Nothobranchius furzeri: one gene and its partner. The protein of the gene in region 1 binds, or shares a complex with, the protein of each later gene. Links are inferred from orthologs where the notes say so. Each region holds a gene or a part of one and is shown on either strand. Other genes may lie near its edges.

Evidence for each region.
Region 2: lamtor5 (region 1) and lamtor2 share a complex: the UniProt entries of both Homo sapiens proteins name them as parts of the ragulator complex. The link is inferred for Nothobranchius furzeri from reciprocal best matches to the Homo sapiens genes LAMTOR5 and LAMTOR2.

The regions. Positions count from the first base shown.
Region 1 is NC_091755.1:27,982,142-27,986,407, reverse strand, and holds the start of lamtor5 (ragulator complex protein LAMTOR5), read right to left. Parts: upstream 2,811-4,266; 5' UTR 2,704-2,810; coding exon 2,669-2,703; intron 2,589-2,668; coding exon 2,527-2,588; intron 987-2,526; coding exon 869-986; intron 1-868. UniProt on the Homo sapiens protein: As part of the Ragulator complex it is involved in amino acid sensing and activation of mTORC1, a signaling complex promoting cell growth in response to growth factors, energy levels, and amino acids.
Region 2 is NC_091745.1:61,225,409-61,229,338, forward strand, and holds lamtor2 (ragulator complex protein LAMTOR2), read right to left. Parts: upstream 2,657-3,930; 5' UTR 2,440-2,656; coding exon 2,372-2,439; intron 1,910-2,371; coding exon 1,747-1,909; intron 1,662-1,746; coding exon 1,572-1,661; intron 1,010-1,571; coding exon 953-1,009; 3' UTR 511-952; downstream 1-510. UniProt on the Homo sapiens protein: As part of the Ragulator complex it is involved in amino acid sensing and activation of mTORC1, a signaling complex promoting cell growth in response to growth factors, energy levels, and amino acids.

The DNA.
Region 1 (4,266 bases):
GCCCAGTGGTTCATGGAACACTGAGTTCTGGCTGTGGAGATGATCAATCACAACCTAAAAATACTGTTTGAATATAACTGATGTAAAAGCTAAAATAAGCCTTGAATCGGACTCAAAACCGTTTGTATTTGTATTTATGTTATTTAGACTTTTGAGATAACAAATTATATCTGAGATTGAAAGTTCGCAGCAGTAATTTTAAATAAATAAATATTCAGGAGCTGTCATTGGGTTGGTAAAATGTTCTGAAAGACGAGATGTTCATTTACCAGAAGATGGCAGCACAACGACATAAATAAAATCCCACAGTTGGTTGACTTCCTCCCTCTCCATCCTCCATGGAGCCTCCGTCCACTAAAGAGGACATTGGCTTTTTAATTTTTTATTCTGTAGTTCAACTTTGGACCCGTTTTTAATGATGATGGGGTTATTTAAATGTCTACGAGGTTATTAGGGGAAATTAAAAAGGGCTTGGAGTCTCAAGAAAATATCTCAGCTGCCTTTTGGGAAAGAAATGAACAACATTCTGGAATCTAATGCCAAGAACCGAGCATGTTCAGTTCAAAGTCACAAATGGCATTGCCTTTGGTAAGTAAATAGAAACTGGAGGAACCAGATAAGCGTACTGGTTTTAGCAACCGCGATGAAGGCTCGGACCCGGATGCTAATAGCTGCTGGGAGACAGTGAACCACTGGATCAGATTCAGAACCCTGAGTCTCTGGTTCTGATCTCTCTCAAAAAGCTTTTTTTAGAGTAATTGATCTCCGTACACATTAATCAGAACCCCCAAAGGTACATCTTAAATACCCCGAGATAGATTTTTAAAAAGAATTACAAGTCAAGCTAAAACCCGGTCAGTGCTCTCACCCTGACTCAGACTCCAGGCACACGGTCGGGGTGACTGTTGGGTCTCTGGTGAGCGCCATAGCTTGTTTGGACAAAACAGACACAACACCACCATGTTCATCAGACAAGGAGCCACGACCTAAAAGAAAAAAGAAAAGAAACACGCAATGAATTATTTAAATGTCTTAAAAAAAGGAAATCAGTGCATCTTTCAAACAGTCATTTTCTGTGATTTGTGTTAATTCCAAACCTGTATACAACAATGACCTCCTTATGAAGGATTGTTAACATATTACAAACATTTCTGTCCCACTGCTGTTATTTAGTCCAGACTGAGGATTTCTGAATTCTGGGGTCTCTCGAGGATCTGAATCATGTTGAACTCATTGTTTGGTTTCTGTCTTCTGCATCTTTTGACTATTTCATTTAGGTTTGTCCATGTACCAGGGAAACATTGCTACTGACTACACAAAACAATACTCATGTTTACCCACTTCCAACAGTTACATCATAACCTTTTCAAAATAACTTTCAACAAGACCTAAAAAGATAATAAAAGTATGAGGACGCTAACAAAGAGCTTAGACTTTGCTGGATGCCTCTGTTATAAATATTAATTAAACCGAACAGAAAAAATATATATACTGATATATCCATCATTTTTCTTCCAATTATCAAAGTCTGGGTTGCTAACAGGTCCAGGAGCGAAGCTCAGATTTCTCTGATCTCAGTGACTCTCCATCTCCATCAAGACAGCTAGAGGGCAGACAGCCCCTCCAGCAAGTTCTATGCTCCAGCAACCGTCAAGCTGTGATTCTTCAGACCACATGATACCTGTCAGCTGCTGCAGGAGTCCTCTGGGAAGTAAAATAATTACTTTATATTATCATCAGTTGTTCTGCTTTGTGTTTCATTGCACAGCTGATGAAAATGGACTGGATATGTTCTGAATTCACAGCCTAAGTAAAATTTAGAGCATGTTCATCTCCCTGAAGTTTGATGAATTGTAGAAGAGATCAAAGTTCAAACTAAACCATGGAAGCCAAACAAGTAACACAGAATCAATTCCACGGAGTATTCACTTTCCCAATGACAGTAATTGTTGTATGTGAATAATGTTCATAAATGACCTCACTAACTAACTGCGTGGTTATTAAGCATTTAGTATTTATTAGTTTATGAGTAATAATCAACAATAAACAATTATAAGCATCATTTTGGATTGGTTGTGTTTAGAGAATTATAAAAACATTACATTTTAATTTTAATTATACCTCATTAGCCTTTGTGATTAAATTTAATTACAGCAGCTTCCTGTTGACCTGTTAAACAGCCAGAAGAGCTCATTCCATCAGAAATGCTAATCTCATTATGCTAACAGTGCAAACACTGTGAAGATTTTCTGGCATGTGAAATAAGTTGAGATTTTAATGGTTGAAATGTATGATTCACAGTAACTTCAACTATACTGTAGTATGTATTTCAACCTTTACAGATGAAAATAGCTAAACTGAAGGAAATAATATTATTTGTGTGTTACATTAATAGCTTTTGCTGCAACTAAGTTATTTCATTATTCAAAAAAAAAAGAACACGACACTGACGTAGCCTTGTAAAAGCTAACTAAACCGAATATGTTTCATACATTTTGCTGTAAATCTTTTTTAAATTAATCTTACAGCCCAGGTTGTGTCCTTGGTGATCTGTGCAGAGCACACCGACAACTGCTGGATTCTTCATGCTACAAAAAAACAAGGAGAAAGGCTTTAATGAAACAAAAAGTGAAGTACGTCAGCAGTTAGAGTGAGATTTTTAACGTACGTGTCATCGAGATGCTGTTCAAGAGTCGACTCCATCGTTAACAAACGAAAAGAGAGAAGGTTTAATTGTTTACAGTTTCATCGACGTTTCCGGTTAGAGTCAGCTGACCGTCACGTGCGCTACGAGTCACAACGAGGACCAAAAAGTGTGACGCGAAAGAGAAAGAGAGAGAGAGAGAGAGAGAGAGAGAGAGAGAGAACGCAAAATCTTTCCATTTACATTACATAAACAAAATAGGCATAGATAGATAGATAGATGATTGATAGATAGATAGATAGATAGATAGATAGATAGATAGATAGATAGATAGATAGATAGATAGATAGATAGATAGATAGATAGATAGATAGATAGATAGATAGATAGATAGATAGATGATAGATAGATAGATAGATAGATAGATTGATAGATTGATAGATAGATAGATAGATAGATAGATAGATAGATAGATAGATAGATAGATAGAAAGAATTAGCATTTTCCTTCAAGTTTTATTAAATTTTCCAATAATAATAATAATAATAATAATGTTATGGGCGGCACCACCTCATCCCCCGTCACACTGAACACTGGTGCACCGCAGGGGTGTGTGCTGAGCCCTCTCCTGTACTCACTCTACACCTACGACTGCACGGCCACGAGAAACTCCAACATCATTGTGAAGTATGCGAACGACACCACAGTGATAGGTCTCATCACCAATCACGATGAGACGGCCTACAGGGAGGAGATCAGCGCCCTGACCCACTGGTGTCAGGACAACAGTCTCACCCTCAACGTCACAAAGACAAAGGAGATGATAGTGGACTTCCGGAGGAGCAGAGGAAGCAGAGGAATACACCCCCCCATCACCATCAACGGCGACGCTGTGGAGAGGGTGAGCAGTTTCCGTTTCCTTGGAGTTCACCTGGCAGAGGATCTTACGTGGTCAGTGCACACGGAAAATACAGTGAAGAAGGCACAGCAGCGCCTCTTCTTTCTCAGAAGACTGAAAAGATTTGGCATGAGCCACCGTATCCTCAGGACCTTCTATTGCTGTGCCATTGAGAGCATCCTCACTGGATGCATCTCCACCTGGTATGGCAACAGCACCGCTTACAACCGCAAAGCTCTCCAGAGAGTAGTGCGGTGTGCAGAAAGGATTATTGGAGGTGAGCTTCCCTCCCTCCAGGACATCTATAAGAAGCGGTGCCTGAGGAAAACGGGGAGGATCATCAAGGACTCAAGTCACCCCAGCCATAAACTGTTCAGACTACTTCCATCAGGAAGGAGGTTCTGCAGCATCCGGTCCAGAACCAGCAGACTGAGAGACAGCTTTTTCCATCAGGCCATCAGACTGCTGAACACTTCACAGACACCTCACCCTCACTACTGAAACTCCAACATTACACATTCCATACTGTACATTAATGCCACTGTTTTGCACATACCAGCCTCTATATATTTTATATCTCTTATCTTATTGTTTACTTTATTCATTTGTATATTTGGATTAGCCATTTTTATATTTTACATGTTTTTACGTTACTGTATTTTTGCACAACTCTGTTGCTGTGAAGCTCGCACACAAGAATTTCACTCGCATGTACTGTACCAGT
Region 2 (3,930 bases), on another chromosome or scaffold:
TGATTAAAATTTTTATTTTGAAAGCTGAGACTTTCTTTATCTGGCTGCAGGTGAGAAAGTATATTTGATGCTAATGCCTCAAGAGAAAATCACTAACTGGTATCAATTAAAACTCATTAGTTGATTAAATGGAGTTAAACAGAATGCACATGCACTCGTGAGTTTTCTTAGCTTTTAAGTTACCCAGATCTTCTGACTTATTAAAAAAGGTTTTGTTTTTAAAGTATTGGATACTGAAAGAGTGAAAAGTTTCATCAGATTTTTGTGAAATCTGTGATTACTGAAAGAAATAAAATTATCTGGTGATGAAACTCAAAGACAAGCAAGGTAAGCTTCTCTAAACCCGCAAATTCTCCCTTTCACAAGATTTTCAGAGCAAATTTAAGTTTATCTCACCTGATACTGCATATTTAAAATTGTTTAAAAACGTTCAGAGGTGTATACGAGGGTGAAACACACCCAACCGTCACCAGCTCAAAGCAGGATTTAAAAGAATGGGTGACTCTGAGCCAGTATCTCTCATTTATCAAACAACCTTGACATAAAACACAAGTAAATAACAATCTCAACTGCATTTTTCAGAAAGATTCATATAAAATCTCCACACACGTTTTTATCATGATGTACATCTGTGACTCCTAAAAATGTTCAGTTTCACATTGAACAACAAAACTATGACCGAATGGACCGATTCCAAGTGAAAACTGAAAATGGAATCACATTTCAGCTGTACACACACACACACACACACACACACACACACACACACACACACACACACACACACACACACACACACACACACACACACACACACACACACCCCTCCATTTAGAGACATGGCCCTTTGTACACTTAGTGTTGGACAGGAGGGTTACAGCAGTCCACCGATGACCTGAACAGCTGATTTCTTCTTCAGTTCAGACCAACAGAAGCGTTGGTCGGATCTTCACTACGATGCGGCCACTTGAGTCAACGGTTCCTCCAGATACTGAACCAGAGCCTCTGCCTACAAACACAATAAAGCACAATTACTGGAAAAGATTAAATCTGGTACGACCTTTAAACTGATCAGAAACTTCAGCCTCAGTTCAGATTTAGCTGGGTTCTCCATGAGCTGCTCTAGCTGGACAAACCTGATGAACCTCATCCACGTGCCTCCCTGGGTCACTCTAAAGGACTTCCTGTTTTAAACAGTGGAACAGAAGTCTAGAACCACTCAGCACATTCCTCAGAAATACTAAAAGTGGTTTAATCTGTGTTTAAATGATTAGTTTCAAATGATTTGCACATTCAATGGTTTATTTAATGATCTGCCCTTACATTTTAGCCCTTTAAGTATAAAACGTTTTAGTTAAGACTTACGTTTAATATATGTGAACAGAATATGTCAATAGAAAGTGTTGAAAGGGTTAAAAGCAAAGTTAAAAGCAGTTTTCTTTGCCATCCAAACAACTGTTGTAAAATAATGCTTTAAACTCAATTGACAGAAGAGCTCCAACACATAAAATCTTTACCAATAAAAAGCAAAACGTGGGAAACAATTAGAAGAAAAGGCCCCGAACTCTCACCTTGGCTTTCAGCATCCCGAATCCCACAGTCTCTTTGGCATATATGCACAGCAGCAGGTTGGCTACACGAGTGATGGCCACTCTTCCCTCCTTAAAAAAAAACAAATACACAGAAGAAGGTTACAATTTGAGGTCAGCCTAATGTTTTAGCCTGAATCGGAGCTGTGTTTCTCACCATACAGTCCATGAGGATGAAGGTAAGCTTGTCTTCGTTGAAGGCTTGGTGGCCATTCTTGTCGTAAGCTGCCCAGATGTTGCTGGCGATGGCAGCTGTTACGCGTGCATCGGTATCTCCATAACCAGAGTAAGCCAGGAGGGAACCTTCATTATTCAGCAAGCTGAGAGGATAAACACGTGACACATACTAAGACAGCCTACTCATAAGTTATCTGTGTTGTTAGAAATAATCTTGATGTATGTTTAGATGGTGCAGCTAATGCCTCATCATACAATTAACATTTAGAAAGGTTGACTATTTTAGACACTAATGTGTAAATTAGAAATATTTTATAAATCATCTCATTGAAATTGATCATTATAAACCGAGGTATTTGTTAGGATCTGTTGCAACAGCGTTCTAATCTGTGACATTATAAAAACAGCTACGATAAAAATCATTAAATGCGCAAGTTTTACATTCAAATAACTAAAATTATGTCTTTTAAGCATTAAGAGTTCCCAAAAAACAACGCTTATTTTTCTTTGGGCGAGCTTTCCTTGTACAAAAAACGATAAGCAGCTAAGAGTCAGAGTAAATAGCATCTTAGCATCTCGTTAGCTTGTCGCTAACTCGTACTTACAGAGTGCTCTGGACTCCGTTTGTGTTCGCTTGGCTGAGGACCTGCGTCAGAGCTTTGGGTCGCAACATCGCTGTCGACCTCACCAAAGAATAAAAACGGTTTTAATAATAATAAGAAAAAAACACGAAGTATTTTGATAGTATGTTGATGTACGTGAAGAGCAATGCGTCCAGGCAGTCAGCTGACTTGTCTTTCCGCATTTCCGGCTTCCTTCGCATTGCACTTTGGGAAATGTTGTCTCGCGGTCGTAACTAAAAAGGATTTTCATTGGCCGTGCTCGAGTTGATGGCCTCGCCTGGAAAACAGACGAGAGCAGACGGAAGCAGCAGGGGGAGTGGCTGAAAGCCGGCGTTTAGGTCGGACACAATTTCCTGCATGTGTAGGATGGCTGAAGATATCGCGTTAGAGTTACTTGTTTAATTTTCAATTTTAATTCTGGTGCCTGTTAGCAGCTGAAACACATCCTCACGTGCTTGTGGATATCATGTATTGTATATGAAGACATGATTGTAATAATAAGCAGTGTTGGGAACGTTACTTTAAAAAAGTAATTAGTTATAGTTACTGATTACTTTGTCAAAAAAGTAACTCAGTTACTAACTGAGTTACAAGATCATAAAAGTAACTAATTACCAACAAAAGTAACTACTTAGTTACTTTTTTCATTAAAGAATGCAAGAATTACTACAATAGTAAAATATAAATGACTAATGACTGAACATAATAAAATGTATGTCCAAATGTTTTATATAAACCTGAATAATTTAAACAAATATGCACTTAACAGGAGGAACTACTAATAGGAACATTACACTAATCTAGACTATTAAAAGGTCACTGTGTGATATTTAACAAGACCCCAATCAGCTAAAATTTAAAATTGCAAATAGAAACACCTGTAAAGGTTCCCGAGCCTTTAAATGGTCTCTCAGTCTAGTTAAATTACAGAAATAAATGTAATTTTGCACAGTATTCTAATTTTTCCAGCTTCACATAATTGTGTGTTTTTAGCAGCATTTCTGTTGCTGCTAATCTAGTAACGGTTAAATAAATAAATAAATATCCTTTAAAATGACACTAGAAGAGGCACAGATCTGATGGAGGACTTACATTTACTAACTTGGGTCAGACCCAACCACAGAAGAGCTGAAGCTGGGTGGTGAACACACACAGTTCTGATAACACCTGAGCTCCATGACGTCTGAGACTGATGCATCAGTGTTACAGCGGGACTAAAGACATGATCAGAAACAGGTTACAGCTGGATGATCTAGGAAGGTAGAAGATCAGGACGTCTGAGCGGACCTTCGGGACGTCCCGCTGTCACGCTAAGAAGGGCACGGCTGCAGACCCGCACCTGCAGCCGTAGATATTCATCACGTGTTCCTCGTTCTTCACGGGCCGTGACGCACTTGGATGAAAACATCTACCTCTTTAGCTCCTGATCAGCTGATGATAACAGCTTCAACACACCGCGCTGCTTCACGCACGCATTTTCTTATCAGTAACAGAAACGATGTTTTGATAAAAGAAGACGGTAATTAATTAGTTTGCTCGTT